Mytilus edulis: one gene and its partners. The main gene of each other region encodes a partner of the protein of the gene in region 3 in a complex. Links are inferred from orthologs where the notes say so. Each region holds a gene or a part of one and is shown on either strand. Other genes may lie near its edges.

The links.
Region 1: phosphatidylinositol-glycan biosynthesis class F protein-like (region 3) and GPI ethanolamine phosphate transferase 2-like share a complex: the UniProt entries of both Homo sapiens proteins name them as parts of the ethanolamine phosphate transferase 2 complex. The link is inferred for Mytilus edulis from reciprocal best matches to the Homo sapiens genes PIGF and PIGG.
Region 2: phosphatidylinositol-glycan biosynthesis class F protein-like (region 3) and GPI ethanolamine phosphate transferase 3-like share a complex: the UniProt entries of both Homo sapiens proteins name them as parts of the ethanolamine phosphate transferase 3 complex. The link is inferred for Mytilus edulis from reciprocal best matches to the Homo sapiens genes PIGF and PIGO.

The regions. Positions count from the first base shown.
Region 1 is NC_092344.1:91,763,977-91,775,002, forward strand, and holds the start of GPI ethanolamine phosphate transferase 2-like, read left to right. Parts: upstream 1-6,040; 5' UTR 6,041-6,092; coding exon 6,093-6,437; intron 6,438-8,012; coding exon 8,013-8,222; intron 8,223-8,711; coding exon 8,712-8,897; intron 8,898-9,574; coding exon 9,575-9,719; intron 9,720-10,136; coding exon 10,137-10,343; intron 10,344-11,026.
Region 2 is NC_092347.1:92,505,888-92,517,298, reverse strand, and holds the start of GPI ethanolamine phosphate transferase 3-like, read right to left. Parts: upstream 4,553-11,411; 5' UTR 4,498-4,552; coding exon 3,746-4,497; intron 2,964-3,745; coding exon 2,804-2,963; intron 1,814-2,803; coding exon 1,664-1,813; intron 1-1,663. Other genes in the region: bifunctional peptidase and arginyl-hydroxylase JMJD5-like, read left to right, coding at 6,765-7,042, 10,691-10,842.
Region 3 is NC_092346.1:8,627,763-8,638,979, forward strand, and holds the start of phosphatidylinositol-glycan biosynthesis class F protein-like, read left to right. Parts: upstream 1-6,270; 5' UTR 6,271-6,304; coding exon 6,305-6,565; intron 6,566-8,443; coding exon 8,444-8,535; intron 8,536-9,211; coding exon 9,212-9,328; intron 9,329-11,217. Other genes in the region: F-box only protein 48-like, read right to left, coding at 4,943-5,107, 5,304-5,533, 6,159-6,225.

The DNA of each region.
Region 1 (11,026 bases), on a different chromosome or scaffold from region 3:
TGGTAGCATATCTTTTTTCTGTTCTTCTGTTATGTCCCTTTATATGATATGCAAGTGGGGGCATCATATGTGGCCCATGGACACATTCTCCATTTATTAAAGGAATGATAAGTTTTGTCAATATTTTCTAATTTACTAACAGTAACTTCTTAAAAATTACAATAAAAACTTCAGATCACGAAAATTACCTTTGAGACATGGACAACTCCTTATTGGTTTATTGGGGTTGAAGATTTTTGGGCTTTTGCCCATTTATTAGGCAACTTTTAAAGAAATTATCAGCAAGCACAGATCTATGAATAAGTCTTATGTGACAAAGAAATGTTCGTCAACTTCTTAAAGGAGATGTTGCCCTAATCTGTTTAGGCCCTTCATTGATAACTATTACCATTTTGTGTGATTTAGTCTTTGTCTTTAAAACTCCAGACAGGAACAAAATGATAAGCAAGAAGAGATTTAAATAGGTCATCATTTGTGAAATTGTTATTTGCCTTCTTATAGTAATAGTATAAGCAATGTAGAGTAGAGTCAGCTTTCCTTCCTAAAGCTGGTGTGTTATCTCGAGACATTGTGCCTTCCTCCACATAAAAAACTGACCACGAAATGGCAAACAATAGTGCTGTACACTAGCATTGAAATCTAAACAATCCTTTCACCATATAATTAATACACTTGTTACAATCAATATATAATTGACAAACAATAATTCCTTACAGTGAAAACTTTAAGTTCGGTGCTTTATTGCTAAAGAATATGGAACAAATCCTTGGTAATATGTGGTATGGATTTGTTGAAGGCAGTACAGTGACTAGTTATTAACTTCTATGACATTTGGCTTTCATTTTAAGTTTGCAAATTGTTTCCCTTATTAAACTAAGAAAAAATAGCTTGTGAAGAGTCATAAAGCAGGATGAAGCGTAAAAAGAATCTTAGGCAATATAGGAAAGGTGTACTGACGTAAAAAGAATCTTACTTTAACGGCACACCCAATCTAATATAAATAAAAAAGAAGATGTAGTATGATTGCCAATGAGACAACTATAGGTCACCGTACGGCCTTTAACAATAAGCAAAGCCCATACCGCATGGTCAAGTATAAAAGCCCGGAAATGACAAATGTAAAACAATTCAAACGGGAAAACTAACCGGCCTAATTTATGTGCAAACAAATGAACGAAAAACAAATAGGTTACACATCACCAAACCAAAACCACTGAATTACAGGCTCCTGACTTGGGACAGGCACATACAGAGTGTGTCGGGGTTAAACATGTTAGCGGGATCCCAACCCTCCCCTAACTTTGTTTTATAACTGTATTCAATATATTCCAATCTAATTAAAAACCGATCTTTCATCGCTCCTGTTTCTGATATGTCGCGTGGGAGCCAGAAACAGGAGCGATGAGAGATCGGGTTTTAATTAGATTGAATATATTCAAGGCGCTTATTTATGAAATGTAGCAAAAATCTAACAAGTGGTGGATTCTGTGAAGGAACATTCATACTAGTCCGAGATTACTCTGACGTCCAGCGGCTGTTTTGCCAGACAAGCTGGGGCGGCTGTTTTGCCAGACAAGCTAGCTTGTCTGGCAAAACAGCCGTTGGACGTCAAATTGCATACATGGAAAATGCCCGAAAAAATATCATCTGCATAAAATGGGTAAAAAAAAAATTTTTGCGTCGCTCCGTTCGGCAGGCTGCCTCCCCTTACAGGCCAGGCAATTTACGGCCCTGAAAACCACCAAGAGAAAATCTGATCAGGGAAAATTGTTGAGATATCGTGACTGTACATATCAGTCAAATTGTTGGTAGACTTATAGGAGTTGTAGCCTTTTGATTTTGAAAGCTATGATAAGCAAGACATAACCTACACATAGTTAAAAATGACTCAAACAATCGGACGACTCCTTATTGGAGTAACTGCTCTTAAATGATAATATTTTATCTTAAAAACTTGAAAACTATAAAAGATGGACAGAAAATTTACAAGCAAAAGTTATCAACACTGAAGTCAAGATCTGTAATTCAACATGGCCGAAATACGGCGTCAGGTGACTCGAGCTCCCTTATTGAAGTTATTGCCCTTTATGACGACTTTCACCATTATTTTGCATTTCCCCCTTTTATTTTGAAAACTAGACAGGAGCCTGTAATTCAGTGGTTGTCGTTTGTTTATGTGTTGCATGTTTGTTTTTCGTTTATTTTTAGCTCACCTGGCCTGAAGGACCAAGTTCGCTTTTCTCATCACTTGGCGTCCGTCGTTGGCGTTAACTTTTTACATTTTGAACCTCTCCTAGAGAACCACTGAATGAAATGAAACCAAACATGGCATGAATGTTCCTAATGAGGTGCTGACCAAGTGTTGTTACTTTGTAGCCGATCCACCATCCAAGATGGCTGCCAGCGGGGGACTAAGTTTAACATAGGACCCTATTGGAAATACATACAAATGACTTCTTTTAGAGAACCACTGAATGGAATGAAACCAAACAGCATGAATGCACCTAATGAGATGCTGACCAAGTGCTGTTACTTTGTCGCCAATCCAACGTCCAAGATGGCCGCCAGTGGGGGACTTAGTTAAACATAGGACCTTATGGGAAATACATACAAATTTCTTCTTTTAGAGACCTACTGTATGGAATGAAACCAAACATAGCATAAATGTTCCTTCCTTAATGAGGAGCTGGCAAAGTGTTGTTACTTTGTAGCCAAATTTTATCTTTTTTTAAATGATTTCAAAAACCCAAGTAGTCGGGTGAGCAATAGAGGCTCTTAAGAGCCTCTAGCTGTAAATAAATAAGGCTGTAAGTTTTCTCGTTTTAATTGTTTTACATTGTCATTTCAAGGCCTTTTATAGCTTACTATGCGGTATGGGCTTTGCTCATTGTTGAAGGCCGTACGCTGACCTATAGTTGTTAATTGCTGTGTCATTTTGGTCTCTTGTGGAGAGTTGTCTCATTGGTAATCAAACCACATCTTCTTTTTTTCATATATAATAGATAAAAACAAACTTTTTATTGCAAAAATGATCAGCAATACCATATTTTCAATTAAGCCATCATGCACAGGCACTCGTCTCTTTATTTGTTTACCTATTGACTTTTAATAGTTAATTGGTAAACAAAAATCTGACGGACATGTGCCTCTATCATCCTGATTGGAAATTGTAGTCGACTCGTTCTTGGAGGTAATTCCCTTCAATAAGTTTTTATGATTTATTTTTTTCGGAGAGTTTCTACCTACTATTTTGAGAAGTGTAAATAGATAAAAATGTAGATGTAAACTTCAAAGCAAAAAACGATCAGCAGGACAAGATCTACAAATATGTCTGTAATTGTAAGTTTTAAAACTCTTTAGATCTCTTTATAGAGTTATTGCCCTTTAAAATGGATTTTTACCAATAAATAGCAGAGGCTCTTTAGAGCATTTAGTTATCAATCAGCATGCACAGAATCATGGAGATCATGAAAAGTAAGATGATAGAGATGGAATTGAGCGATTTTTTTTAAATTTTACATGCGTTTCTTATTTGTTAATTTAACTTTGCCATATTAGTTGTAAAGTAGTTCTGTGAATTCATTTTTTTTCTTCCAGTGTCACTTCCAGTTTTTTATCTGGATTTTGTTTAAATTGAGATGCTGTCTTAACATGCACTTGCTCTATGCTGTTATAGGTAAAAGTACTAAAGAGAGGTTTCGTGTTTACAGAAAAGCTATTGGCGAATAAGGGAAGGACAAGAAACTCGAAGAAAATTATTCAATAACAATATTTTTATAAATTAAGAGAAAGCCCATGATCATGTGATATTTATAGAAAAATTTCACTTCATGTCGGTTCCGTGTCGTCACTTTTAAACTATTTAACCATTATTTTTTTTTAATTAGAGTTGTTACTGGTGGCAAAAAGGAGCTATGGTTTAAAATTGATGATTTCGAAAGTTGCCGTTCAGTAGATATGGTTCTTGATAAATAAGAAAGCAGCGAGAACATGCACGAAAACGACTTCAAAATAAAGAAAAGCCAGCCTGTTGTCTATTTGTAACTTATTGATTACCCGCTGACATGTACTTTTGGGGCAAAATCTATAGACGATAGAGAAAATAATGTTCAAATCAACAATATTAGATCGAAAACTGAAGAGATTTTAGTAATGGATAATTTTGGTTTTGTAGAATCAATGATCAGTGGCGAATTAAGGGGAGTCAGGGTGCCCTGGCCCCCTTTTGTTGTAAAAATTGTGGTTGATTATTTAGGGAATCACTGATGCATGACAAGGGCGGTCCCCTCTTAGGCAATTAATGCCCCCCTTTTTTACACAAATTTCTGGATCCGCCACAGATGATAGACAGAAACTAAATCTCGTGAAATGTATATAAAAATAAGATATGATATAATTGCAAAAAAACATCAAACCACCAAAGTGCAATCCATACTGTATAGTCGGTTATAAAAGACCACACATGAAAAATGTGAAATAATTCACTTCTAGGAGAACAGTTATCGGCCTAACTCATAACAAAACTATCATTAACGAAATAAGCAAAAATGATAGACATAAAACAACGAACCCCATTAAACTACAGACTCCCGACATGTGACATATAAAAAAGAAGATGAGGTATGATTGCCAACGAGACAACTCCACAACAGACCAAATGACACAGAAATTAACAATTATATGTCACCGTGTGGCCTTCTTTATACAATGAGCAAAGCCCGTTCCGCATAGAAAGCTTTATATATGGCCAGTGGTGGACCCAGGGGGAGGGTTACGGGGGTTGGAACCCCCATTTTTGTTGGACGATCAATGCATTTGAAGGGGACATATAGTTGGAACCCCCACCTTTTAAAATGGCTCAGTGGATCCGCCCCTGATGCGGCATTACGGAGAGCACATTTGTGAGCGCTCAACCCTTCCCTTGGACCTTGGTGTGACGGATCAACGTATGATGAACATAAGCGCAAATAAACATGTATTATCATATAAAAATTCATGAGTGTTATATTGCAATAATGTGTACAGAAAAGTGAACCGTGCCGGTGGCATGATCGAATTGTCAGATTATTCTTCATAGAAGTGTTTGTCCCATAAATGAGGTATATCAGTGACCGTTGTGGATAGAAAAACGCAAAAATAATTGAACTAGGGAATAAATTACGGATTTTGGGAAAAAAGGGGGAGGGCCAAAAACAATTGTTCTGTCCCCAAGTACCTATACTGACCTATACTGCATGCGGACGATATTGAATTTACCGGTTCATGATTCTATATAATTAAGTCTTGGACAAATAGATAAATGTATTAGTCCAAGTTATGATATTAACTTTGAGAAATAAATAAAATAGTTAGGTCTATATTATGAAATCAGCATTTCTTATCAAATCTCATAAAATTTTCGCCAATAACAGTAATATGGGGACGAAGTCCCCAATAACAGTAGAAAATTCAATAAAAAAAAAAAATTCGGGAAAATTTCCCGAATTTTTCATTGTACTAATGAACTCAAAATCGTTCAATTTTTTTTATGTCATGTTTTGGAATCCCGGACCTGCGCAGAAATGTACAATATACTTCCTTTTTCCGGTCTCGTTTGTATGAAACTTTGAGTAAAATATATATTTATCAGTCTAGTATAAAATAGGAAGAAACGTGCAATACCAATTTCATTTTTAATAATTCCTTGATATGAAAAAAACGTTACCTAATGATAGCGTTTCTTTGTTTACATTGCATATGACGTCATAATTTAAATAACGTCACAACTAAAATCCCTAACAACAGAACCAAACTCGGAAACGTTACGGTATTTCCGTTTCTTTTTTTTTTGACAAATAATTAAGTTACAAAAAAATAATTCATACAGACTTCGTCCCCATTTACAGGTAATGCCTGCCTCATATTAGTTGTAAATAAGATGATACTTTATGCTTTTTTAATTCGAATCTAACTCTTGGATTTAATATTATACCTATGTTTTGTCTCAGAAGTTCACTGAGGATTTTGAGTGATAAAGAGAATTTCTGGAATTAAGGAGCAAGGGAAATAACTCTAGAAATCAAAACAAGATGTCTGCGCCCATGTAGAAAAAAATGAAAATATTCATTATTGCCATTATTATATTTTCCACGTTACTAGCATATTCTGTTTTTCTTAGGAGTTTCATATCCCCGAAGAAAATATTGGACGACACATCTTCACATGAAAATGTTTTTCAGAAGTTGCACTCAAATGATATTATGATATCAAATGTGTATAGAAAAATGTTTTCAGAAATGCTCTATGAAAAAGTAGTTGTTGTGTTAATTGATGCACTAAGAGTTGATTTTGCTGGAGGTGAACAGATGCCATTTCTTCAAAGTAAAAAAGAATTAGATGGAATGAATTCATTTGTGGCCATAGTAAAACCTCCAACTGTTACATTACCAAGAATAAAGGTGTGTTTTACATCACAGTTAAAATTGATAGTTAATTGAGACCAGGGACTTTGTATACTATGTTTATTTTGTACATACCACACCACTTTCTATTGAGAAGAAAACAGTACATTTTTAGTAGAATGTACTGTGCCAGGCACAACACTATCTATAGATACAAAATACATTGTATGGGAATTGTTATGAACTGCTCAAAACATTATACTTCCAAATAAACATGGAATTTATCAAAAATTTCAAGCACAAGAAATTATGCAAATTCCATACTCATAGACATGATAGACGTTTTAACTCAATAAAAGTACAATTTAACTCCAGGAATGTAGACTAGAGTTATCTACCGTTTGAATAATTATGTCAACAAGGAATTTGCATGCAAAACATACAAATCAATTTCCTAAAATTAAATTGTACAGTATTGAATTCAAATGACTTTTACCATAAAAAATTATTAAATAAAGAACTGCTGAACCAACACCTATGTTTTGTGCTTCCGTAAGTAGATACAAGATGGTATGCAGGGTTGTCAGATAAAAATCAAATACCTCTACATTGACGAAAACACTTAAGTTATAAACTGCAACTTTTATTGTCGACATGTTTCGCCAAATTAGATTGCATCATCAGGAGACAAAGTATACAAAATTAGAACCCCTGAAGTACAAAAAAACTGCATCTTGTATGTGACGTCATAAGTGTCCAAACCCTTACCACTTCGACTGGCTTCCCTTTGGCCAGAGGTACTACTCACAATCGCGTCGGGAATGGTGTAAAGTGGTTTAACTTTACCCGCTAAAAATTTCTTGGCAATGTACCATCATTCTGTGCCGTCAGAAAATTAAATGTAAAATCATTTAAGTGTGAAGCCATAAAAAGGATCTTTCAAAAGTGAATGGAGATGACTTAAAAAAGCCAAGATAGACTTCATGTACTACTCAGAACCTACAGGATATTAAACATTAAAGAAGTAAGATACAAAGAACATAAATCATTCCCACCCTCATTTCCAGTTCAACCAACAATACCAAGAAATTTTGCATTGATAGCCTTTTAGAAAGACTTGGATTGGTTGAGCATGATATTTTTGAAAGATTTTAAAGTGAAGTAATGTCTATTTTTGTTTTGCATAGTGACAGTTAACAAAAGTATTCAACAGCAAGCTGAATTAAACTTCTCCCTTTGATATTTGAGGAAAAAGTTATAATGTACATGTCATACCCCAGTTTTGATAAATTTAGGGTTGGGGAAAATGAATGGGTTTTTTTTCAACAATCTTCGAAAATAAAAAAAAAATTGACCGCTTTTTTACGCCCGATACTTATATATCGAATGCATTCGGTGTTTATCATAATATCTATGGAACAACTGGGCCAAGAAAAATGTCAAAAGGTTATTTTTACTGTTTGCACTGTGACCGTCTAAAAATAGAAATTTATGTTTCCTTAAGGATACATTCGGCATGAAAGTGTTTTAACATCTCCTTCCAAATGAAAAGTTAAAGAATGCCACTTAGCATCAAAGGTTAATGTGTTTACATATGATAGTATATCCATGCATGTTGAACATGTTTTGTAGGCATTGACAACTGGCAGTATCCCAGGGTTTGTAGATGTAGTTATGAACTTTGGTTCTTCATCCTTGACAGAGGACAATGTTGTGACACAAATGAAGCATCATGGGAAAAAGATGGTATTTTATGGTGATGACACATGGCTTAATCTATTCCCGGACCACTTTGTCAGATATGAAGGGACAACTTCATTCTTTGTAACTGACTATACCGAGGTTAGAGTAATCATTTATTAAGTGATATTAACTTACACAACTTACACAAATTTCCATTATTATCCATAGCATGTTATCAATGTCACCATTTAGCAGAACTTTGTTAAATTTAAAAATCAGCATAAGTTAAACACTGGAAAACAACTGTAATTACATTGTGTAAATTTCTATTTACATCAATTGATTTTATACAACACAAAATAACAATAGAAAGTAAATATATTATTATAGAAAATTTTCATTGACGAACATAAAAAAAATATATATAGTGGAATGTAATATTTTTTTTAATTTGTTGAAAAAACCATTAATTGATATGTAAAGGATATGAAATGTTTAATCATGAAAATTTTTAACAAATGTTTATATGCATACTAATACTAAGTGTATAATTGGCAAAAATGGTATGGCTAACAGCAGACTTTATATTTGACTATATGTTGTATGATTTTGTGTCTAAATACATGTAATTCATCTGCATGATTACAGGTTGATAATAATGTGACCCGTCACTTGGAAAAAGAGCTTTCTGAACTTGATTTTGATATGATGGTATTACACTATCTTGGGCTTGACCACATAGGACATATAGCTGGTCCCTTCAGTCCACTCATAGGTCCAAAGCTAAAAGAAATGGATGATATTATCAGAAACATTTATCAGGAATTGAGTAAGGTATTGTTTAAATACTATAAAAATCAATCTATTGAAATATTATTTGAAAGATTGAAGATCACAAAAGGTTTTCATTTTTTTGCATATACACATGTTTTTTATTAGTTTTCTGTAGGTTACAATAAATACTTCTTTCGAGATAATTGTTAATTCAGAATTATTCTACTTGTCAATATGTTTAATTATTGCAATAATGCACAGGGATAGATATGTTAAAAATAAAATTTCGATTTAATTTTTATAGCATTATTTGTATACAATGTTTCCTGTAATCTTAATAATTGATCTCATATTTTAAACCCCCACTCTATGATTGATTGGTTGTTGGTTGCTTAACGTCCAGTGGCAAAAAAAACCACTCTAAGAGTTGGGATTATATTGTAACATATTGTTTGTCTAATAAGTATCTATGTCATACTTTTTCTCAGAAACAACTAAACACAATGACCATATTTGGTCAGCAGCTTGACAGTAATGAGTTCTAATGTGTGATCTGTCCAATAAGTATTTCCTGTTTGCTGAATTTATTATTTCTAATATTTTCATCACATTTTTCTTAGGAACTGTTATATTTTTCACATGAATTTACCATCAAGAAAACAATTAAAAGTTATTGAGTAATTGAATTTGTTTCTCAACATTTGGGCAAAAAGTTATTGACAATATTTCTTTACCAGAATGATGTCCCCAGTTTAGTGATTGTGTGTGGTGATCATGGTATGAGTGACCAGGGCGGACATGGAGGAGCAACTGAAAGTGAGATATTGGTACCAGTCATATTCCTTAGAACAGGAGAAATCAGTTCACAGAAGAAAAAGAAAGGTATTGACAGAGAGCTGGCAATGTGTTTATTATCTTTTTTCAACAATCGATGGAATTGTATTTGATGTGTATGAAATTTTTTTAAGGGAATATATGTCAACAAGACAGCAATGTAACAACAACAATTGATTGCAAGCTTCATTCAAATTTTAAAATATTACTTATTTTCCATACTAAATGTCAATTGTGAATACAGTAGATATATAAAAATAAAAAGATGTGGTATGATTGCAAATGAGACAACTCTCTACAAGAGACCAAACAGATCTGTTAAACAGACTGTATTTCTCAATGGACTGCAAAAGGTTCCTGGCTTTGGACAGGCAATTATGCTCTTTCATTTTACTCATTCAATAGTTAATCTAAGATATAACAAATATATGATTTAATTACTTAAATGATTATATTTTTTTACAGATATTCCTGTTCATGAAATAGAACAAATTGATTTAGCACCGACATTGTCTTTACTGTTAGGAACACCCATACCAAAGAACAATATTGGTACAGTAGTAACAGATGTATTTGCTGGTTTTGATATACAACAGAAGCTTGTAGCATTGATGGTCAATGGTCTCCAGGTATCAGAAGTTTTACAACATAATGTTGCAGACTATGAATTAGGTAAAGTAAAAACAAACACTGGGGAAAATGAAAATGAAACAAATTTTATCACTTTAGAATTTATAATGGAGTTGAATTTTTTAGATTCATATTTTTTTTTTCACCTTACAAAAAACTGATATTAAAAGATTTTTTTCTCATGTTTGTTTGCATGTTTTGTTGTGTGTGGGACTCTTTTGCAGTAATAAAACCTAACATCCATATTTTAAGAATTCTTGTTTTGTTTACAGGGAATAAAAGGACAAGTTTTTGATTGATATGGTTTGTCTCATTGAATTCCTCAGTATTCATTTTTGGGGTAGAAGAGAAAATAATGACATTTTGGTGTTGCTTAGTGTCCAAGCAGTTAAACTGAGTGGCTATTTATAGCCAGTTAGGAGTCTTATAATATGTTATAACAGACTTATGTCAGATAAAAAGTCAAGCTTATAATGGAGTTTCCCTTAAAACCAAGAAAATTCAGCCCAAACACAACTATACCTATTTTCTAAACATTATGAATATATGGTCTTAAGTTGAGTGTTTCACTTTTTAAAAAATGTATAACAAATATAGCGTTTATTTTGAATTGAATATATTGTATTAATAAGGTGCTAACATTTTTGCAAAAATGGGGGGAAAATAAACCAAAAAAGTTTTAATTTTTGGATTCAAATGTTCCATCTACCTATGTGGATGCCCTC
Region 2 (11,411 bases), on a different chromosome or scaffold from region 3:
ACGATGATACTTGGTACTTGGTAGTCTGTCAGAAGGGGACAATAAATGGCTGACCCGTGCGAAGAGAGAGACATATGTCTTGGACGTTAAAGACACCATTATAGATTTCGTAAAAGAGTAGGCTATTGCCGCTACAAGGTAGCACCCACAAAGTCTTAAGGGATAAATATAAGTTGCAATAACTTGTTTCCCAATTAATTCACTATAAATAAATGTTTAAACTAACCTAAACTAAAACTAAACACTTGCATACATGTATATGAAAAACACGTCACAAGAGGGTTTCATATGAAATAAAATATAAAAAATTAAATCCTCCCACCCACCCCAATTTTTTCAAAAGTTTGATGAAAATCTACAAATTAATTTTAAAAATTTGGCAATTTTTCCCTTTGTAAAGGGACATAACTCTAGAATGGTTTAATTGACACCACCAAAATCCGAACTTGAGTTGTATTCTGTGGTAATAAGCATTGTGTATAAATTTCATTTCACTTAATAAAGGCAAACTTAAGTTAGAGAATGAAAACCAAAAAACCTGGGCAATTTTTCAATTTGTAAAGGGGCATAACTCTAGAACGGTAAAAGTTACGCCATCAAAGTTTAAACATGATCTGTGTTTTAAATTTGTGGTAATAAGCATTGTGTATAAAATTCATAATATTTGGTTTAGTCAAACTTAAGTTAGAGAACTGAAACCAACTTTGTGACTTACATTGTACAGACATAAAATGAAATTTGTTTTTGAGAAATAATATATGTATTAATAACTTCTGTTGTAACCAACACTATCAAATTACTGTATGGAAATTAAATTAAGGTTTTGCTTTTCTTAATAAACACTCATAGTCATACTCAAACTACAGCTAAATTGTAAGCAGGATGGAATCACTAGAATAAAGACAATATCTGTATCACCATATCCACAACTGATTGAACTATATATGTATGTAACAATTTATTGTATCTTTAGTTTCATGTAAGTACAAATTTCTGACTCACTGTTCAAGATTAATAACTTTTAAGTTCTTAGTATGTGTATCCAAGCATATTATGCAATGTACATTTGATCACTCCTACATGTCTTTGTCTCAACTGGAACTAAAGTCGCTAGCATGGCCAAAGCAAGATGCAGGCTTGCTGTTTCCTACATACATGTAGGTTGTATCGGTACAAAAAAAAAAATCACACAGGCAACACATATCTCTATGTCACAACAGTTTATTATTTTATTGTTGACTTGTGGTTTTAGTAATTTTTACAAAGTGATATATATCATATACATGTACTTCTGTTTTGTTCATAATTACCTTCTTGATGTCACTGCTAGTTTGCCACCATGGACAATGTGTAAATAGTTCCTCTATCACGATTATAATAGCCTTAGTATGTGTATCCAAGCATATTATGCAATGTACATTTGATCACTCCTACATGTCTTTGTCTCAACTGGAACTAAAGTCGCTAGCATGGCCAAAGCAAGATGCAGGCTTGCTGTTTCCTACATACATGTAGGTTGTATCGGTACAAAAAAAAAATCACACAGGCAACACATATCTCTATGTCACAACAGTTTATTATTTTATTGTTGACTTGTGGTTTTAGTAATTTTTACAAAGTGATATATATCATATACATGTACTTCTGTTTTGTTCATAATTACCTTCTTGATGTCACTGCTAGTTTGCCACCATGGACAATGTGTAAATAGTTCCTCTATCACCTGGCCTAGGTTAGAGAATGGTATTGGTATACCTAATAGCAGAGAGATGGTTGGTACAAAATCTATTTGGGAAATTGTGTCCCTTTCTTTCTACAACATCAAAGTACAAGTATTAGCAATCATTTTTGTATCTTCATCATGTTCATAGGGAAAGTAAGATGAAAAGTCATACTCAAATTTATTTTTTGGCTAATTATGATTCTGTCGAAGCAGCAACCAATTTTTTACCAGATGCCATATTATTGTCTTCAAGCATTTGTAATGAGTAATAATTTACATTTTACAAACTAACTTACCCCCCTACATTTCAATTAGTTTGTTCTTATGTCAGTCCCTTGTAATTCAGTGGTTGTCATTTGTTGCTGTGTAACATATTAGTTTTAGTTGTTCATTTTTTTAATATTAATGAGCCTGTTAGATTTGTTGTGTGAATTGTTCTATATTTGTGATTTTGGGGCCTTTTATAGCTGTCTATGTGGTATGGGCGTTGCTGATTGTTGAAGGTTGTACAGTGACCTAAAGCTGTTAATTTCTGTGTCATTTGGTCTCTTATCGAGAGTTGTCTCATTGGCAATCATATCATATCTTCTTTTTTATATTTATAAAGCATTCTTTATTAATATGCTCTTCTTTTTAATTCTCTTATTCCACCAATGAAAGATGACCTAGAACTAGTCTACAAAGCATATTTTGTTAAAACATTTGAGTAGATGAAGGAAAATCTTGAGATTTATAGAAAATAGAATATAAATTTCCTTTATAGAATTACACTCAAAATTTGAAGAAAAAAAAATTAAAAATGAAACCAAATCTAATCAACAGCAACTGAAATACAACACAACACAAGAGCAAACTGTACAAATTGGAATCTAATTGGAAAGGAATCAACTTATTAGACAAATACTAAGCACAAATGACAAAAGGACACAATGTACCATTCTTAGAGAATTAGTAGTTATTTTCAAAGCCATATGCATGAAAGCCCAATTTATACTATTGAATGAACCATGAAATTCTGAACAATTTAAAGGTTGGTAAAAGAAATCACAGCATTTTTTCTTGTCTTAACTGAGGTATTACCCATAGATTATGTTGGCTGGTTATCTGTGCAGGACTATACACAAATAACGCTGCTTCTAATTCATCTTTACTGTCTCCGCCATGGTCTCCTGTTTTAGTCATCCCATGATCACCCATCACAAATAATATTGTGTCATCTTTCATCAACCTTGTCACATTCCTTTAAAACAGATTTACAAAAAAATGCATTATTAAGTTAAAAGAATCAGAATTACTTTCAGTATAAAAATCAATGACATGCTACATTGTAGCAAAGGATAAAACAGGTTGCTATTATTTAACAAATAATGTTAACTTTTCATATGATAAATTGATAGAAGACAAACACAAGCATGACAAGTAATGATGGGTCTCAGGTCACAACATTTGCTAGACATGCTAGAGGCAAAAAATTTGGAAAGACAAGATATTTACACACAATAACAAAATTATTTAGAACATTTGTATGCAGGGACACAACATATTTGTCATAGAGGTATGGCAGGTGGCAGGTGCTTTGCAACATTTGGGTAACCCAATCTGATTTATGATCATAAAACATTGTAATCATGTTAATAAGGGGACAAAGTCCCCTATAACAGTAGAAAAATCAATAAAAAAAATTAAAAAAATAATTTCCAATGTGCTAATGAACATTCAAAATCGTTAACTTTTTTTTGTAACTTTTTCATTTTCACGCATTTGCGCAGAAAACTCTTTCTGTCTTTCTTCCAGCCTCGTTTGTCATGAGACTTTGAGTAACAACAGAACCAAAATCTGATTTGTTACTGTAATTCCATTTCTTCTGAATATTAAAATATGTAATTGATATGGACTTCGTCCCCTTTCACAGGTAACACCTGTCTCATATTATTAATACAATCAATATATACATTGCACATGTTGCATGTAAAAGCAGGATAATAAAAATATTTGCAGATCTGGAGGTGTACATTGTATTACCTAATCATATCATTCATTTGAGACAATTTGTCTCTCATAGCTGGATGGTTTGGACCATATCGATGACCACAATGATCAACACCAAGAAAATGAGCAACCAACACTTCCCAGTCATTCTTGCTCTGTTCTTTGAACAGGTGTTTTAAGACACCATCATCAACTGTATGTAAATCTTTCACATTAAATGATGGAAATGGAAACTGTTTATCAAATCTGTTAGGGAACAGTCCAATCCAAGTGTCATCACCAAGAAATTTTATTCTTTTGTTGTGGCCAATTAACTGATCTATAAAATTATCCTCTGTTATTTCAGAGCTAGCAAAATTAGATCCAGCATCAACAAATGTGGGAAGACTTCCCGTAGTCAGTCCTTTCAATCTCTGTAGTGTCGTCGTAGGTGGGTCGGCTATAAATTTGTAAAGTTTTGCATTGTTTGGTTTCATCAGAGAATTTTTAATAAAAGTTAACCTATTTTTGTATGGAATAGAATCATTTGCTGTGGGGTCAAATGAAGCGAAATCATATCGTAATGCGTCTATTACGATTATAATAGCCTTCTTATAACGGACATGCATCCAACAACCCTTTTCTCCGTGCATGTCACTTTGCATGGCAAAGTCAACTTTACAGGTACTGTTTCTTTCTACAACCACTCTCTTCAAAAGAAATCCTTTTGCAAACATAAGCAACCCACAAACGTAAAGTAAGATTAGAAAGCATAAAAGGAAAAAGCATTTAAAGTTTTGTCCCATTTTTTTCCTAAAAAATTTCTTCACATTTTCGCCGGTTTTACGGAAGTTACCAAACGGAAATAATAAAAAAAACTTTTTCGGTTCAGCATTCGTCAAATTTCCGGTTATTAAAGAAAATAACAAAAGAATATAAACAGATGATCACATATAAATGAGAAATATATCGATTAAAAGACATGACCAGAAACATCGATCATTTAAAAAAAATCATGCGCATATAACGTTATGCGACAACTTGCAAAATTTCAGAAGTTCTAGCAATCTTATAAATTTATATAAAAATTCTAATAGTCTAACGGAACTTTTTATCAAAAAACATCAGCAGCTCATGTGACAAGCACCTCTACTGGATAACCTGACAGCATCTCAACAGATTTTGTAAAAGTTATACAAGGAAAAAACTCTGTGTGTGAACCAGCTGTGTAGAATTATATTAAAACAAAAACTAAACATAGCTCTAATTGTGTGCTTTTAGAAAATAAAATGAGATTACGCGATTCGTTTTTCTTCTTGAAAACAAGGCATGTCAAATGACTCTGGGACTAATACAATTATCTAATAGTACCAAATAATTTATTTACATATTCCTCTTTAAAAGTTAGTCTGACAATCGTGAGTTACCTCTCCTTACAAGGCTAAAGTTTGAAGAAACAAAATTAATCTATTAAAAGATGTTTCACGGTATTTGTAAAATCAGAAATAATAATTAGATAAAACATAAAATTTTCGCTATTAAAATGAAGGTTTTACAAATCATATATGAATGCATTCCGCTATCCAAATTTGCATATTTCACAGAGAAATGAACCGCTCACTAAGTTGACAGATTGTTTTCGATATTTTGTACAATAAAAGATAGCGGCTTACAGTAGTTGAATTTCTTTTTATTTCGACCGTTCGACCCTGTGCGTAGTCAAGCTCGTTAAGCACCTACGAGTTAATAATGGTTCAAGGATAGCCAGGATTGCTAACACTGCGTACGTAGTTCTGTTTTGATATATTGATGTGCCAGTTTGATTCCCAAAACTCTTTTATTTATTTATTTTTTAAAATTCATATGTGTAGTTGCACTAACATTTTATTCAAACAGTTTAAAATTTATGAATAAGAAACATGAATCGAAACCATAACATTATATTGGTCTTTAATTTTCAAAGGTTTTTAACCATTTGCTTTTGGATTTGCTAAAATCTAAAACCCACCTAATCACCATTTATATAAAGTTTCATAGCTGACATTTGACATCATAGTTTGAAAGAGGGAAACGTTAAAGTCATCATGATGAAACGAGTGACTGGTGAAACATAATGATTATCCAATTCTTCAACCAATGCATGTAAATCATAAACTAAGTCTTCTGAGCACGGTTTTATCATTTTCTTACTGTCTGTTTTGATGTGAAAATAGGACAGCTACTTAATTGTCGTGTTTTGAAGTCGTAGTTTACCAATTGTCACCTTATAGTAAACAATCAACAAAGGAGCATGGATTTTGAGCACGTGTATAACATGTAGACAATCAGATAAGAGTTTATTTTAATGACAGATCCATATTACGATCTACGAATTTTTTACGAGAGGGGTTAACGGCTAACTTAAAGGTCACTTGCATACGGAAAATATGTCGACGAATTGCTTCCTAGATCTTCCTAGCTGGAAGCAAGCAATAAGAATAAAGTAAACTTCTTCTAAATGTTAACAAATAAAAGAACTTTCTTCAAAAAAAGGTTTTGTACATAAGTGTTATAATGAAAACTGTCCTTTTAATTATTAAACAAAATATGCATCATTATTTTGTAATTTGAGGTTTGATATTACTTTAAACTGACATCTAAGGATCTCGGATTTTGATGCAACGTACTTCACTTTGTAACTATAATATGCATGATTTATCAACATATATACTTTAATATATATACATCCTGTACGTACATGCACGTAAGTTAGTACAAACGGAACCGAAGGACATATGTATAGTTTATTTCAAATATATGATCTAAATGTCTACACTAATCAGGAAAAAAACGATCATGATACAAAACAAAATAATTAACAAGCTTGCTGACAAATATGTAAAACATAATAATATTATACAGACACGTGTCAAAGTTATATTTTAGATACATTTCTAGGTATTGACTATGTTAGAAATAATAAATATATGCGTTGAACATGTTGAAGGGGATTTTTTGTAATATACTAGTACATTAATTTGTAACAGGATACGTATGCAGTCGATTTTACCGGGTTGTTTCTAATATTTTCAATATGGCAGTATTCCATGTTGGAAAATATAACTTTGTTTATTTCTTGTCATCTTATTTCACGTTCTTATCCTTTACCGCGTGTGAAAATATACCTGGACATTTAAAGCCTCTTGGTCACCATAGAAAATCTCTTGGAGGAGTTACATTATTGAAGGAATTCCCATCTCCTACAGACTTTTATGAAAATTACATTGCCAAAAGTGTACCGTTTATTGTGAAAGGTGTTCTAGAAAACGGACAATTTCCAGCATACAAGTTATGGACTGACCAATACTTAGAGTATGTACTGTTTATATGTACTATATGTTTATCCAATCAATAATCAATTAGAAAACTGTATAACAAGTAAAACATATATCAGTGGGATCTGTGTCTCATTCAAATTAAAAATTCATTTACCAAACTGTGTAACTCTGCATAAATCCTATACATTGAATGTATGTTCTATTGTTTATATGGAAAGACCATTGTAGGAATAAAACATGCACTAGCTAAGAAAACATGCACTTCTATAAACGAAGTTTAATAGATCAAATAAAAAGACGTGATAAGGGTTTTTTTTACAAATTAATGTTTTTTTATCAAAAAATATTGATGGAAAAAGGTATGAAAAAAACCCAATGAAATCGACCTATATCTGTACAGAACATACATAAAAAATGCGGATATATATAAGGAAAACACCAATTAGTTATACCGTTATAACTATAATTAATGTTGTGGTCCTGAAGGACGGGGGTTAACAACATAGAAAATTAAAAAAAAAAAAAAAAAGAAAGTACGGAGAAATGTTGGAAAAATAGACAAGAAGACAACTTGGGGCTAAATATAAAGAATCTGAAATTAGCTAAAATTTTGTTTTTGTCATTTTTGACCATATCAGATTCTCGTCAAGATTATAGCGTAGGAGTCGAATACTCACACAACTAGTTTTACCCCGGAACTTGTTTTTGATCCACGTAAGGAATCTTCTTGTGTTTGGTACTGTTCCAGTAATTTTATTGTGACTGGCACATTTTCCGGAAACTCGCTGTGAGTGGCAAAGTTCCAGGAACGTTATTGTGACTGCCACAGTTCCAAGAAACTTCTTGCAGAATTCCAGGCATTTTATTTTGACTTGCTTGGTTTTATGAAACTTGCTTTGAATAGAAAGAGAAAGGCCAAGGAAGGTGATTGTGACTCTGGCACTGTTCCATTAGGAATTGTCATGAATGACACTATTGACTACTGTTCCATGAGGAATTATCATGACTGAAACAGTTCAAAGAGTATTTTTTTTACTATCTCAGTTCCAAGAATAGTATCACGACTAGCACACTTCCATGAAAAATATCATGACTGGCACAATGCCAGGAATTTTATTATTACTGGCTCTATTCTTTGGTGTCTTGGACATGCATGAAATATTTGCCACGTGAAGTTTTGAAGACAGCAACAAGCAGTCACTGTACTTTTGTGTGTTACCTTTTATATTCATTCCACAAGCTTAGCAGAACACCGACAATTGCCTAAATCGATTGAATTTTACGAACAACTAAATGATAACCAAACTAGGCTAGTGATTAGCTGTTACATTTTTTTCTGACACATCTATACTCACTGGCCGCTTGTCAAGAGAAGTCTTGGTTGAAAAATCAACAATAGAAAATGTTTCCAGAACCATGCAGAATATTCTTTTCAATTTGAAAAAAAACTGAAATAAATATGAACAAAAATTTTTGTAATGTCCGTTTCTACCCAACCAATTACCAACATTACATGGTGTCATATTGATTGTCTATTTCTAGATCAATAGAGTCTTAATATTATAATCTATTTCAGTATTTACCCTAACTATGCTTGCCCATCCCGAAGGACATGAGTTTAAAACACGAGTTTAAAACGAGTACGGATGCGAATCCAGTAAAACTATTTAGCTGTGGCCTAATTTGTATCCAATAACTAAAGTATAACAAATGTCAGTAAAGGCATAGGACAAATACAAACATTATTTTTTTCAAAATTTCTTAAAATCTTATATCAAATAGACAATGTTGGTGTCTTCTTGTTGTTATCCATACGATAGTACAATAAAATTCTTTAATAAATATGCTTTTCCTCGATTCTTATTTTCCACATGATTGTATGCCCTATAAGCACATGTGGTTATGCACTGATCGGGTGTTAAAGTGCTTTAGTTAAGCATATGGGTCATTATCAAAAAAAGTGCAAATTTCGACGAGGTAATATTTTGAAAAATTATGTCATTGTTTAAAACTTTTAAATGTGTCCCGCTATTCTATAGTATGGTAGCAACGATATTCAAAAATATGCAATGGGAAAAATGAAGAGTTTCTTCAATTTTAACAATTTTAGGTCGTCCTTTGAAATAATCGTGTCAATGGTGAACATTACAAATTTAAAGCATACATTTAGGTACTAAATATTATTGTTTAACATCAAATACTGTTCCAATTTGTTGTTTAGGTTTAAATTACGACTTATTGACATTATTCATATAGCTGTGCATTCTATTTAAACATAAATTTCAGGAAGTTGGCTGTCCTAATTATGGCCGTTGTAAATACTAAAAAATACACTTAAACTGAATATATGTGAATTGTATAAGGTTAAATGATAATGATATACCTAATCCTTCGTACTCGACCTAAAAACACTTTCATTTATGAATAAAGATTTAAAAAAAATGTCTCATTTTTATATAGTAACACCACTGACCCTTCAGTAACTCCAATGGCACAAAAGTATCACCAATGACATCACATTTCAAATTTTACCTTTATCAAGTACTGAACACAAAGCCAAGATCACCGAGCAAAAGAAAAAGATAAAAAAATAATTCTTAGGCTAAAAAATCTCAAATTATATAATATAACATCCATTACTAAAAATGTCAATAGTGTTACTAAATAGTGTCATTGGTGTTACCAGCATACATCAGTTTGTGAAAACTGTGTATATGTAATACATGATATTGTTAAAACATTGTTGAATAAGTATTGTTTTTCATAAATAATATGATGTTTAGCTTGTTAAACATGAAAAAAACACAAAACAATGCTGATTGTCATGATATATTCAGTGGTGTTACTAAACTGGTCAATGGTGTTATTTTATCATAATGGTCTCACCATTGACAGTAACACCAATGATTTAAGGTGTATTTTAAGATTCAGTTACGAAATAAGTGCTCCATTCCCCTATTCTATATGTTTTTACTGGTTTCTATAATCAATATGTTTCATTATTCAAAGTTAAGGAAATGTTTTCAAAAAATGATTTTTATAAAGGGTACACCATGGACACTATTTCCAATTACGATATAACCTTTACTTACTTTTACGATTTTTTCACTAAATCTTCAACATAATTGTTTGTTTTCTTTTGCATAACATGCTTACAGGTACCATTGCTAAGGGAGAAACTGTTGCAAATGCCCAAATCTTGCGAAAGATAACTCTTATTCTACTAATTTGTCCTTTGGTAACACCATTGACTTAAAAAATGTTACATTTCCTTTTGGTAAAAATTGTTATTATAAAACCAACATACACCTCCCAAAATCATTAAAAAATGTTTGTATGTATCAAAATGCAATAAAAAGTGATAAATCATAATAACAAATGATATGAATAATAGTCCTATTTCAAGTCTGAAAGGATTTATAGTAAAAAATAACAGTTAATTCTGGCTATCTTCAAGGGTTTAAGAAAACATTAAGGATGTTTTTATAACATTTCATACTGTAAACAGTATATTGTGTATCACAAAACATTCATATCTAACATATGCAAGTGTTATTTTGATATATTTTCATGTCTGTGACTTATAAAGACCCAATAACATAGTTTTGCATGTTTTTTTTATAATGACCCATATCTCAATTGCGATTTCAATGTACATACATCTTAATCTAACGTATTGTAGCAAGGAATATGGAAGCCTTTTTGTGGACGTGGAAGGAGGGAAGAAAGAGGACCGTAATGGTCAGGCTTACACAATGCCCATGTCAAAGTTCCTTCAGATATACAACCAATCAAATGTATACATGGTTCATGACGTAGCAACAGAAATGAAAGGTATTTTAGAATGAACCTTTTTTTTTGTAAGAATGAACTTATATTGTGTATTTTAGTATGATAATCTTTTCACAATATTCAGTCTTAGACAGTTATTCCATCATGACTGCCCAGTTATCATAGGACACAGCATCCCTCATATGGTTCTGACATAAAGATACAAATGTAGGCTATATATAGATAGTATTTTTAATAACTTTCATACAAATAATGTTTTTCTCGTATGTGAGTATAACATATTTGTTTTTCGTTCATTTTTTCTTATATAAATAAGGCCGTTAGTTTTCTCGTTTGAATTGTTTTACATTGTCATTTCGGGACCTTTTATAGCTGACTATGCGGCATGGGCTTTGCTCACTGTTGAAGGCCGTACGGTGAACTATAGTTGTTAATTTCTGTGTCCCTTTGGTCTCTTGTGGAGAGTTGTCTCATTGGCAAACATAACACATCTTCTTTTTATATATATAATGTGACAACATAAAAAATATACCATAAATTAATACATTGCATCATATTTGAAAATTGTCAACCTTCTTTAAAGTTAAAGGGGTTCGTGTTGTTTATTCTTT
Region 3 (11,217 bases):
ATCAATAAAATAACCTGGATCATACTCTTAATTTACTGATACTGTGCTTTGTTTTTTGGCCATTTTAGTTGCTTTAAGTGCTTTATTTATTTAATCATTGTGTATTTTATGCCAGACTGACAAAGAATTTGAGTTCTAGAAAAAGCAATCAATGATTCATCTTTTACAAGAACATGCTTTGTCTTACATAAAACTACCTAAAACTTTTTGTGCCATTTATTATCTTTTAAATATTATATACTTCTTTGTCATATTTTGTATAGCCTAATATATTTTGACTTTTGTAAGTTTAAAACTTGAGACTGAGATATTGTAAATTTTCAAGTTTTCTTGTTTTGTCAATACATATATGATTGAATTTTATCATGTTTATATAGAGTCTAAATTCCAAATGTTGCTGTAATAATTATTTAAGATACAAACAATAGTTACATAGTACACGGATGCCCCACTCCCACTATCATTTTCGATGTTCATTGGACTGTGAAATTGGGGTCAAACTCTAATTTGGATTTAAAATTAGAAAGATCATATCATAGGGAACATGTGTACTAAGTTTCCAGTTGATGTGACTTCAACTTCATCAAAAACTACCTTGACCAAAAACTTTAATTAAAACTTTAACCTGAACTTTGCACTATCATTTTCTGTAGACCGTGAAATTGGGATCAAAACTTTAATTTGGCATTAAATTAGAAAAATGTTTTTTTGAGGAACATTTGTACTAAGTTATAAGTTGATTGGACTTAACTTCATCAAAAACTACCTTGACCAAAAACTTAAACCTGAAGCGGGACAGACTGACAGACAAACGAACCGACGCACATACCAAAAAACATAATGCCCCTCTACTATCGTAGGTGGGGCATAAAAAAATCATATTTTACACATAAGGTTGATGATTTGATTCCATGATGTAAACACTACCAGTATTTGTTTTAATGCGATGACTAGGATATATATCACTGGCTGTTACTGTCTCGTAATGTTCTTTAGAAACTAGATACATTGCTATAAGTTTTCAGAATTCAAACATATCTCTGATCAGTCAATTCCTTTTTAGCTGATTTTGTTGTTTGTTCTATTTTGCTGTTTCACCAGTCCCAGGTTAGGGAAAGAGTTTAGAGCAAACAAACATATTGTCACAATTTATTTAACCCCACCATATTCTTTATGTGCCTTTGTATGCCAGGAGTATGTATTCCAGTGGTTGTCAGAGTAGTCATCTGTTGTTATAGTAATTAAATTTATATTTAGACCATAGTTTTCTCTTTTGAACATTTTACACATTTTGTTATAATACTGGAGCCTCCTTTTAGCTATCTATAGTATAGAGTTTTGCTTATAGTTAATGACTATACTGTAACATGCAGTTGTTTTAAACATCCTTTGTATTTGGTGGATAGTTGTCTCTAAGTAATACCACATCTCATATTTTTGTACTATTGTATTAACAACTTGTTGAATCTCTATGCAATTGACCATTTTTTATTTTTCATATTACTGACTTTTGACTTTTGACTCCCAGTTCTGTGGTAGGTCATCCTGGTACTCTGTCAATTAGGAGCAACCAAACAAAGTAAAATCAAATATATAATCTGTGCAATTTTGAGGGAAATTTACTATTGTCCAATGATTTAATCATATACAGAAAAATTTAAACGATTAAAATCTTTAATTTACTTATTTATATTGCTCTTGCTTAACCAAGTAACAAGATGTCCTACCACAGAAAAGGTAACTTGTTGAAAAAATATTAATTCCGGAGTCGATAGTTGGTAAAATGAAAATGGACTATTGAAAGCTGACTATATGTTTCAAAAGCCAGCTGAATATTGAAGAGCATGAATAGACCTTTAAATGTTTTACTTATAACTTTTTGTTACTTTATGTTGTTGGGTGATAGTTTCGTTGTCATTTAACTCACATCAAAAACTACCTTGATAAAAAACTTTAACCTGAAGCGGGACAGACGGACAGACAAACGAACAGACAATTAAACAGACGGACGAACGGACGCACAGACCAGAAAACATAATGCCCCTCCACTATTGTAGGTGGGGCCTAAAAAATCATAATATTTTACACATAAGGGTGATGATTTGATTCGTTGATGTAAACACTATTTGTTTTAATGCGATGACTAGGATATATATCACTGGCTGTTACTGTCTCGTAATGTTCTTTATAAACTAGATACATTGCTATAAGTTTTCAGAATTCAAACATATCTCCTATCAGTCAGGTTTCAAAAGCCAGCTGAATATTGAAGACCATGAATAGACCTTTAAATGTTTTACTTATAACTTTGTGTTACTTTATGTTGTTTGGTAATAGTTTCATTGTCGTTTAACTCACATCTTCCATAGTAATCTTCACCTTTTAATATGAACCAAATATAATATTTTGTCAACATTTGTTCATACCAATTTTTGCATAATTTTCCATTTTATTTTATTTTTTAGGTAATAGTATATTATTTAATAGTTTTTGTGGAATTATTTAAGTATACAGATACATTCCTTTACTTTTATGATTTGTCAATATTCATTATATGTTTTTTACAATCATTACTGTTAGTCTTAAACAATAGATAGCTTTCTAATGGTGTAATTTGATTTGTATATATATTGCTTTGTCCAGTCTATAATGATTTGTTTAACAATAGAACAAAATTTTAGACTTAAGGATGTACTAAGGTGAGGTTTAGAAATTGGGGTAAAATGTTCGGACTCCTTGGTATTTTTCCATCAATCTAGGGTAAAAAAAATTGCCCCATAACACCCATTTTTCTCTGTATTAAAGTCTTCAATAGGTCATAAAAGGCCATTTTCCAAAATTTAAGCAATTTCTTAATTTTTGTTCTTTCAATTTGTGACCCAAATAAAACCAATGCAAATATAAGGTAAAAGTCCGAGTCAGCCTTTTCCCGCCTTTTTTTAAAACTCAAATATCTCAAAAAGTAGGTCCATTATCTATCAATATTTTTAGCTTATTTTGTTCCTTAACTGGTGCTCTTTCAAAATGTAGTATCAAATTAAATTTCTTAATTTTTCAAATTTCACCTAAGTACATCCTTAAATATCTTTTATCTCAGAAGGGTAACAACAATTTTGTGTTTTTCTGTGTGTTACAATCACTCATAGTCCACTTTTTGGTGCAATGGCAAATGAAAATTGTAAACATAAGTCATGAATTTCAACCAATGAAGGCTTGAGAACCAGTAAACCAAATGTTCTCTATGCACAATGGTATGTATTTAGAGAAACATTTGTGACATTGAATTCTGCATTTTAATTTGAGTGCATAACAGGTATTATTACAAACACATTTTGATCATGAAGTGTGCTAATTATTACAATGTGGTGTATAAACCAGTTGTTAGAATGTAAAAAGTTGGTTACATGGATGAGAAATAATAAAAATTATTATAAAATGATTTTATTTATTTACAAGCACAGCCTGTGATGAGCACAGTTGAGAAAATACTCTACAACAATCAATGTTATAAAACATTAATAAATTAACACATCAAACAATATACATTCATAAACAATCAAAGCAATAAAACAATCACTCTTTTAAAATCAAGTTCCAGACCTGATAAAAAAAAAAAAATCTACTGCATAATGATTCAATCAACACAAAAACAGATTTTTTTGGGCCAAACTCTGTGTGTAATGAGAATGATTTTTTTCTAAATAAAAAAAACATCCTGCAAGATGGTAAAAAAAATGTGTAGGACAAAATGTCTATAAATATACGTCTACATATACCTGTATATATACAATGATAGCCAGTATCTCCAAAAAGTCTCTAAATTTAATATGTTTTTGGTCAATCAAATGTACAAAATGACTGAACGAAATGTTCCAAATTGTATAAATCTCATACTTAAGGAGGGTGTTAAAATAAAGCAAAAAATCACCAATAGAAATCAACCATATGGTTATTTATTCCATAAAATTATTTTCAGAAAATGATAAAAAAAAATATATGTTTTAATCTTTCATGTTTTCTGAATACAATGTAAATATTTTGTTAAATTATCTCCCCCTGAATTGAACACAATTTGGTAGAAATTATCTCCCTTTGCAAATTACATGTCTTGATAAATGATGAAATCAAATATTTTTGTCTGTATCTTTGAGAATTGGCAAAGATGCTTTGTAGAACATAAATCTAAATTTTGTCTTAATATCTGTTATATAGAGACATAACTGTTGAAAACAAATTTAAATATACCATGAAAAACATGTATTGGTATTGTTTAAACTCTGTTTAAAATAGTTAGGTACACCAATATGGAATTTAAGTAATTTATGTTCAGTCTAAGCATTTTTAACAATATTCTTCATCAATATGAACAATATTGACTGCTTTTAAGGTGTTGATATATATCTCATTTACTTCGATATGAAAACAACAAACATATATTCTGTACATCTACAGAGAAAACAACTTGCAAATAAAACTAAATCTTAAAACTTGTTATGAATTAAATAAACAAAAACATAAACATAAAATATCGTAAATAAAAAAATTACATAAAAACCTTAACAATATAACGAAAATATATTCAAGCTGCCCTATAATAGATTGGTAAAATAAATTAAGTCTTCAACAGTGAGACAAAAATATTTTTGTACATGTCATTTTAATAGTCCTGACCTTATAAAGAAAAATATTTAAACTTCTGCAGTACATTATATTTCTGTTTATATTTTTACCTTAAAACATTTTTTTTAATTGAGAACCAAATAATTGTCAAAATTAGACCTATCATCTGCACTTTTTGGCCTTAGAGTATTTAAAACATTAAGAAATGAAATTGTCATTGGTAGTTATCAGTTTCAGTCTTTTTTAAATCCTTTTAGTAAGCTGTTCATATTTATTCTTTTTTTTCAGCTGCTGATATCTTAGATAAATGGGAAAATATGAATCAACAACGATCCAGTTCCATCTGGAATATTTCGCCCCAGCTCTCATCGTCCATTTTACAAACTGGTTTTGGTGCCAGTTCTTGGTAATTTTTTGGATTACTAAAATCTCCTTTCTTCCATTTCTTCTTTATGTCATTAGTTTTGTAATTCATCTTAAATGTTTCCTGAAAAAAAAATATGAGGAACTGTACATACTGGCAAAAAAATGAAAATATATGAATTTGATAAGTGTGATTTTAGTGCTTGAATTATAACTTCATTAATTGTTCATTTTCAGTATATCTTCAGAAGACCATTACTATGTAATGTACTTCTGGTATCTTATACATTTTTAAAAAGCCTTTCTTTGTAAATTATTACCTGCCATGATCTACCAAGCTCCCTGTCTACTTGTATCAGCCTCCTGGTTTCATGTAATGAAGAACATAGCTCCTTCCATAAAATATCTGATTGACCAATCACAATATTCCATCTCTTACAAACCAACGAAGAATTGTTCAATGAATCTACATTACAGTAGCTAAATATCACAAGAAGAATTTCATTTGGTAGCTCATCTATTGTAGTTAGACTGTCACACATTTGTATACCTGTAAATAAAAGATCACAAAAATTACCATGATATAATGTACATTTGTATGATAACCTCATTTTTTGACTTCTACAAATATCGTATTTTGTTGGATTGGTGTCTCATTGTGATGTATACCCAATATCTCCTGGAATCCATGACTAAACTTGAGTCAAAGGTACACAACATTCTGATTTGTATCTATTAGGGAACTGCTGTGGTTGATCTTGGGTTATTTCAGGGAAAACATTTTATCGAACATTGAAACATAATCATTTTAAGCTACTGTTAGCATCAAATTGTTTATGTGATTCATCTTAATTAGTCTTTTTTTTATCGTCTAAAAGAAAGTGTACACTTTATCCACCGGCACCGAAAATTACTGTTAATGATATTTGGCAATATTTTTTACCATTATTCGTCATCAACCCTCATTATTGGCCCTACAAAATTCTTCATGATTTTGCACTCAGGTTGTTTATCCAGAGACAATCAGCTCTCACGTTCTTTTCTTAGGTTGCATTTATGAGAACGAAAACAGATGTCCAAAATTTGTAAGCTGACTGTAGGAGGGGGCGTGGCACCTCTAACCGAATATTTTAGCTTTAAAGAACTATTGTGTATGATTAATGCAATATAAATACCTAATTGACAAAAAATATTCCCCTTTTCAACGTCTTTTCTCTGAAACGTGAAGATGTGTATTGACATGAACAACTGACGCTCGCGTGTATTTGTTTTGACAGAAACCGGAACTCTTCAAAGGGAAGCAATCGGATCGTAAACAAAGATGTCTGCCCCCATGGCAAATCGTTTGCCAGCGAAAGAAACTCTCAATTCCTTGCTAAAAGGACATCTTATATTCTCTATTAGTACATTGATGTTATTATTCTTTAGCATAAACAATGAAAATCTGTTTAGTATAGTCAAATATCGCTTTATTGTCACAAAACTATTTATATTGTTCATCAGCGTATTCAATATCATTCTTTACAATTTTATGAATATCCATGGAGGTACATCTCAAAGGAATGCAGGGATACTATCGAAAGTAAGAATGTATGAAATAATCACTGGCATGTATCAAACACAGACCTTCCCTTTTTCCTAAGAAATTTCTGATAAAAAATTATAATTGGTACCTGGTTAGCTTTGTCTCCTTTTGAAAGGCTTTTCTCTATACTACTATATAGTCCAAATAATTAAGATTAAAAAAAAAAGAAGCTCTTTCAAGATGTCATAATTCACAGGAAGTTGTCAATTATGTGTACTACCTCTTCTTTCGTTAACCAGCAACGGAAAAATACCATCAAGCTAAGGGATGACATCAAAAGTTCAATGTAGGATTAAAAACTTAATTCACATAGATTTTTTGCTGACCCCTACCCCCCTTCTTAACTTAATTTAGGAAAAATTGATTTACCTATATGCATATATGTAAAATCGATTTTAGATTAACAAAACTTGCAGCAATGTTGACCCCCCACCCCCAAACTATTCGATTTAAGTTTTTTATCCTACATCGATCTTTTGATGTCGTCCCTAATGCTGTGTCATTAAGTGCAGGTGCTGTACAAGTTGTGATCATCAAACCTGACAAAACCGAAAAGGAAATAAATTTATACAAGTTTAAAATTGTGATCAGTGCTGGATGAAAACATGGAAGATCTTTAGAGCATCACTGTGTCTCTGGTCTCAGGATGGAAGTGTGACCAGGGCTTTTCCTTGAAAGTCATTCAAGTGTTCAAGTCGGTGTAAGTTGTGATGTTTCCTGGTAAATGGTTCCAGTTCCGGTTTGTTACAGGGAAAAAGCTGAATTTGTTTTCTGAGATGTTGCATTGTGGCTGCATGATGCTGTCTGTGTGGCTATGACGTGTTTTCTTGTTGTTGATGTGGTATTTTTCAGACCATGTCCCAGTGTGTACTGTAGTATTTGAGAATTTCAGTGGCTACTTGGTGGTACAGTATTTTCTGAAATAATTTTAAGCGATTTGTTGTTTTTCTAGTATCAGGAGTAGGTTGATTCAAAGGTTGTATAATTGCGGTCATAGAGCCGGGTTGGTAGTTGTAGTTCTTGTGTTGTACCATTTCTATACTTTTATGTCCTTCTTCCAATAGGGGTCCCATACTGAACTACTGTATTCCAGGTGTGGTCTTATCAGAGCAATTTACATGTAAGCATGTTGTTAAATTTCCTGAGGACATCTACATGTATATAAATTTCTTTTAACAAAAACATTTGAGAGGTAATGTGATGGTTCCAATTGAGCTAGCTGTCTAGCTCCACCCCAAGGTATGGGTTATGTTTATGTTATAGCAGTTTTATTTGGTGCATCATTCTTAGAGTGAGTGCAGTGTCACCTGATTGGTGTTCAGAACGACTCTAACTTCTACATGTCTACACAAAAAGTCCTGGAGGCTGGAACAGTCTTGAAAGATACATGTATAGTGGTTGGACCAACCAATGGCAAATATTACTTACAAGTTGACATGATATAAAAATGTACCCTGCTTTGTCACAGTTTGTGCAAGAAATACTATAATATTGACAGAAATATCAACCCAAACGTTTTTAAAATCAGTATTTGCTGCCACTCAACTAACCACACAGCTTTTTATAATTAAATTTTAAAAATTTGATCTATGGTAAGGGACTGCAAACTAAGAAAACCCATATTGTCTCAATTTTCTTTGTTATAGCGTTTGAGGCCTTTTAACATGTTTAAATTTTTTAAGAAAATCTTCATGAAAGCCTCCCATCTATGATAGAGGGATAACTGTTCCCATTGACATGATTGATCATGTTGGTTAGTAAAAGATTAGTAAAATAGTTACTACATGCATATGTAATTTTTCATATTATCAATGTTCATCTTTAATGTTTATATTTTAATGGAACTTGTATTTAAACATATACTTTTTATTTCAGATAAGAATCATTTTGAAGAATGGATCACTGTTATTTTGTTCATCAATATTTTTTCATGTAATAGCAGTTTTATTCGGTGCACCATTCTTAGAGTGAGTACAGTGTATATTAGACTACCCTTAGCAGCAAAAATTACTTATAAACAAATATGTTCATCAACATTTGATAAGACAGGTACACATGGTACATGTACATGTAGATTCAATATTCACTATTAAGACAAAAAGATTCAAACCATCTGATAAATAACAATTCACATTTATACAATCAGAATAAGTAACAATTCACATTTATACAATCAGAATAAATAACAATTCACATTTATACAATCAGAATAAATAACAATTCACATTTATTTATAATCTGATTTATAAAGTCTTTGTGCTGCTAATATTTCAATGTTTTTTTATGGGATAAAAATTGACTGGAAATAGAACATAATGATAATATAGACATGATAGATATTCCTGTTAAATGAAACTTTCTTTTTATAATATAGCCAGTATAAACATTATGAATTTAAATTTTACAATTTAATATCTATGACCATTTTCTTGGTAGCATTTACCTATGACAGGTAGTTGTATGCCGAGTCTTAAAAATATCAACCATCACATTGGCATAAACCCCATATTCACTAATCTCTCAACATCAGAATCAAATGAGAGAAGACAAATTTTTATTGATAGAAAAACCAAGTTGACATTTGTCATTAACTGAGTACAGTTTTAACATTTAATGATTACATGTATTACCTTGCATTATTAGATCCTCAGCAGAGACATTTCACTTTGGTATGACCATGTCAGCTACAGTTGTAGTACCAGCTCTGTGTGTAATGGGCACCAATACAGTGCAATGGATCAGAATATTTGCACAAAACAGGTATTTTCTTTTATTCATCAATGAACCATTTTACTTTGGTATAGTTAGAATGAAAACTGCTATTTGTTAAAATACACTTCTACAAATACTATCAACTTCTTCACTTAGAAATAAGATTTCTGTTGGTTATTCAGATATATGTAGAAGAAAATAAAACCGTAGGTCATGTAGGTTGTGACCAGAGATGGGTCCGATTACTTTCAATGTAATTGATTAAATTACAATTACTTTGTCATTTGTACGATTAAATTAAATTAATGATTACTTCATTTCTGAAAGTGTCTGATTAAATTAATGATTACATTGGCAAAGTAATCATGATTACATCTGATTACAATAAATTAAAAAAAAAACGTTTTGAATGATGAGAATGAATTAATGTTTAATATAATGTTAGTTCTTTTTAGAAAGAATTTTGTTTTATATATTTTAAAATGATAACTTCAAACTTCATCTATTTAATAAACCACAAAAGTTCACTACAGACATACATGACATACATGAACATTGTGTCACCAATTACACTTTATCATCATTGATCTCTGAATCATTTTGACTTCAATTGAATATGGCTTTATAAAGAGTTTGCTGTTTGTATTCTGACCTCTTCCAGACTTTATATGTATTTCAAGGTGCAGTTTTCAGAAGTTAAAATATGGATGAAATAAAGTTAACAGATAAAAATTATGATAAAAATCAATAGAATTGTTTAAACAAATTGTAAACAAAATACAAGTTCTATAAGTCAATGCAATTTACATGTCCAGTCCAAGTACATACACAAATTTGCGTATATTAAACAAGATATTTGTCCAACTTTTAATTTAGTTTGTGCTAATTAGATGAATTTTCTCATGTCTGATTAATTTTTTATCATATATATTGTCCTACAGCTATACTCAATTGGAAATTGCAATAAAAACAAACCTTAATTGGTTTCCTACCTGTCAACTGAAAGTTTACAATAATAACAATATTAACAAAAGATTATAATTCAGGGTTAAAGAAAAATATAATATTGCTTAAATATAACAGTTTTTTTTTTATCAAATATATATATATGTACATCTTTAAATTGTGAATACATGTACAATATCTTTTACTAAGGCCTTCTTAGGCTAATGATGACTTTTTTAATATTGTAAGTTTATTTTTTACTGAAGTATACAAATCAATTAACATGCTTGATAAAGTAAACCAAACTATCTTAACTTGTTAAATATCTACTAAATTAGAATAACAAAAGGTTCATTATTGACCATAAACACAGTTCAAGATTTTTTTCATTGTAATCAAAATGTAATTAGGATTACAGGGCATTTTGAAAAGTAATTGATTAAATTAAATTACATGTAATCAAATTTTTGGCTGATTAATGATTACAATGATTACTTGAAAAATTGTAATCAATTACAGCTGATTAAAGATTACAATTACAATTACCCCAAGTCTGGTTGTGACCAAATAATTGTCTTCTATATTTATAGAAAAAACAAAAATGAATGTTTTTACACTGTACCACCAAGTAGCGGCTTTTCTACTGATATATAATAACTAGAATCATGCAAATAAACTTTAGAAAAGGCTTGTAAGCTCATCTTACAAAGATGACGCTTTTTCTAGACCACAAAACAGCACACGCAAAATAGTCGTTGCAAAGAATTGTAACCTTTGAAATTGTTGTCGCGCACTAAAACCCCCATGGGCACTTTCAAAACTTGGCTGGTATGGTAGCCACTATAATTTTTTTATTAAATTTGAATACATATTCACTGTAACCCTTTTGTACTCTTACATATATTTTACCTGTTGAATTTCCTTTTTCTTTTCTGATACAAGAAAGAAGGAGACTTTGATTATAGAAATTAGTTGATTGGTATCTATGGAAA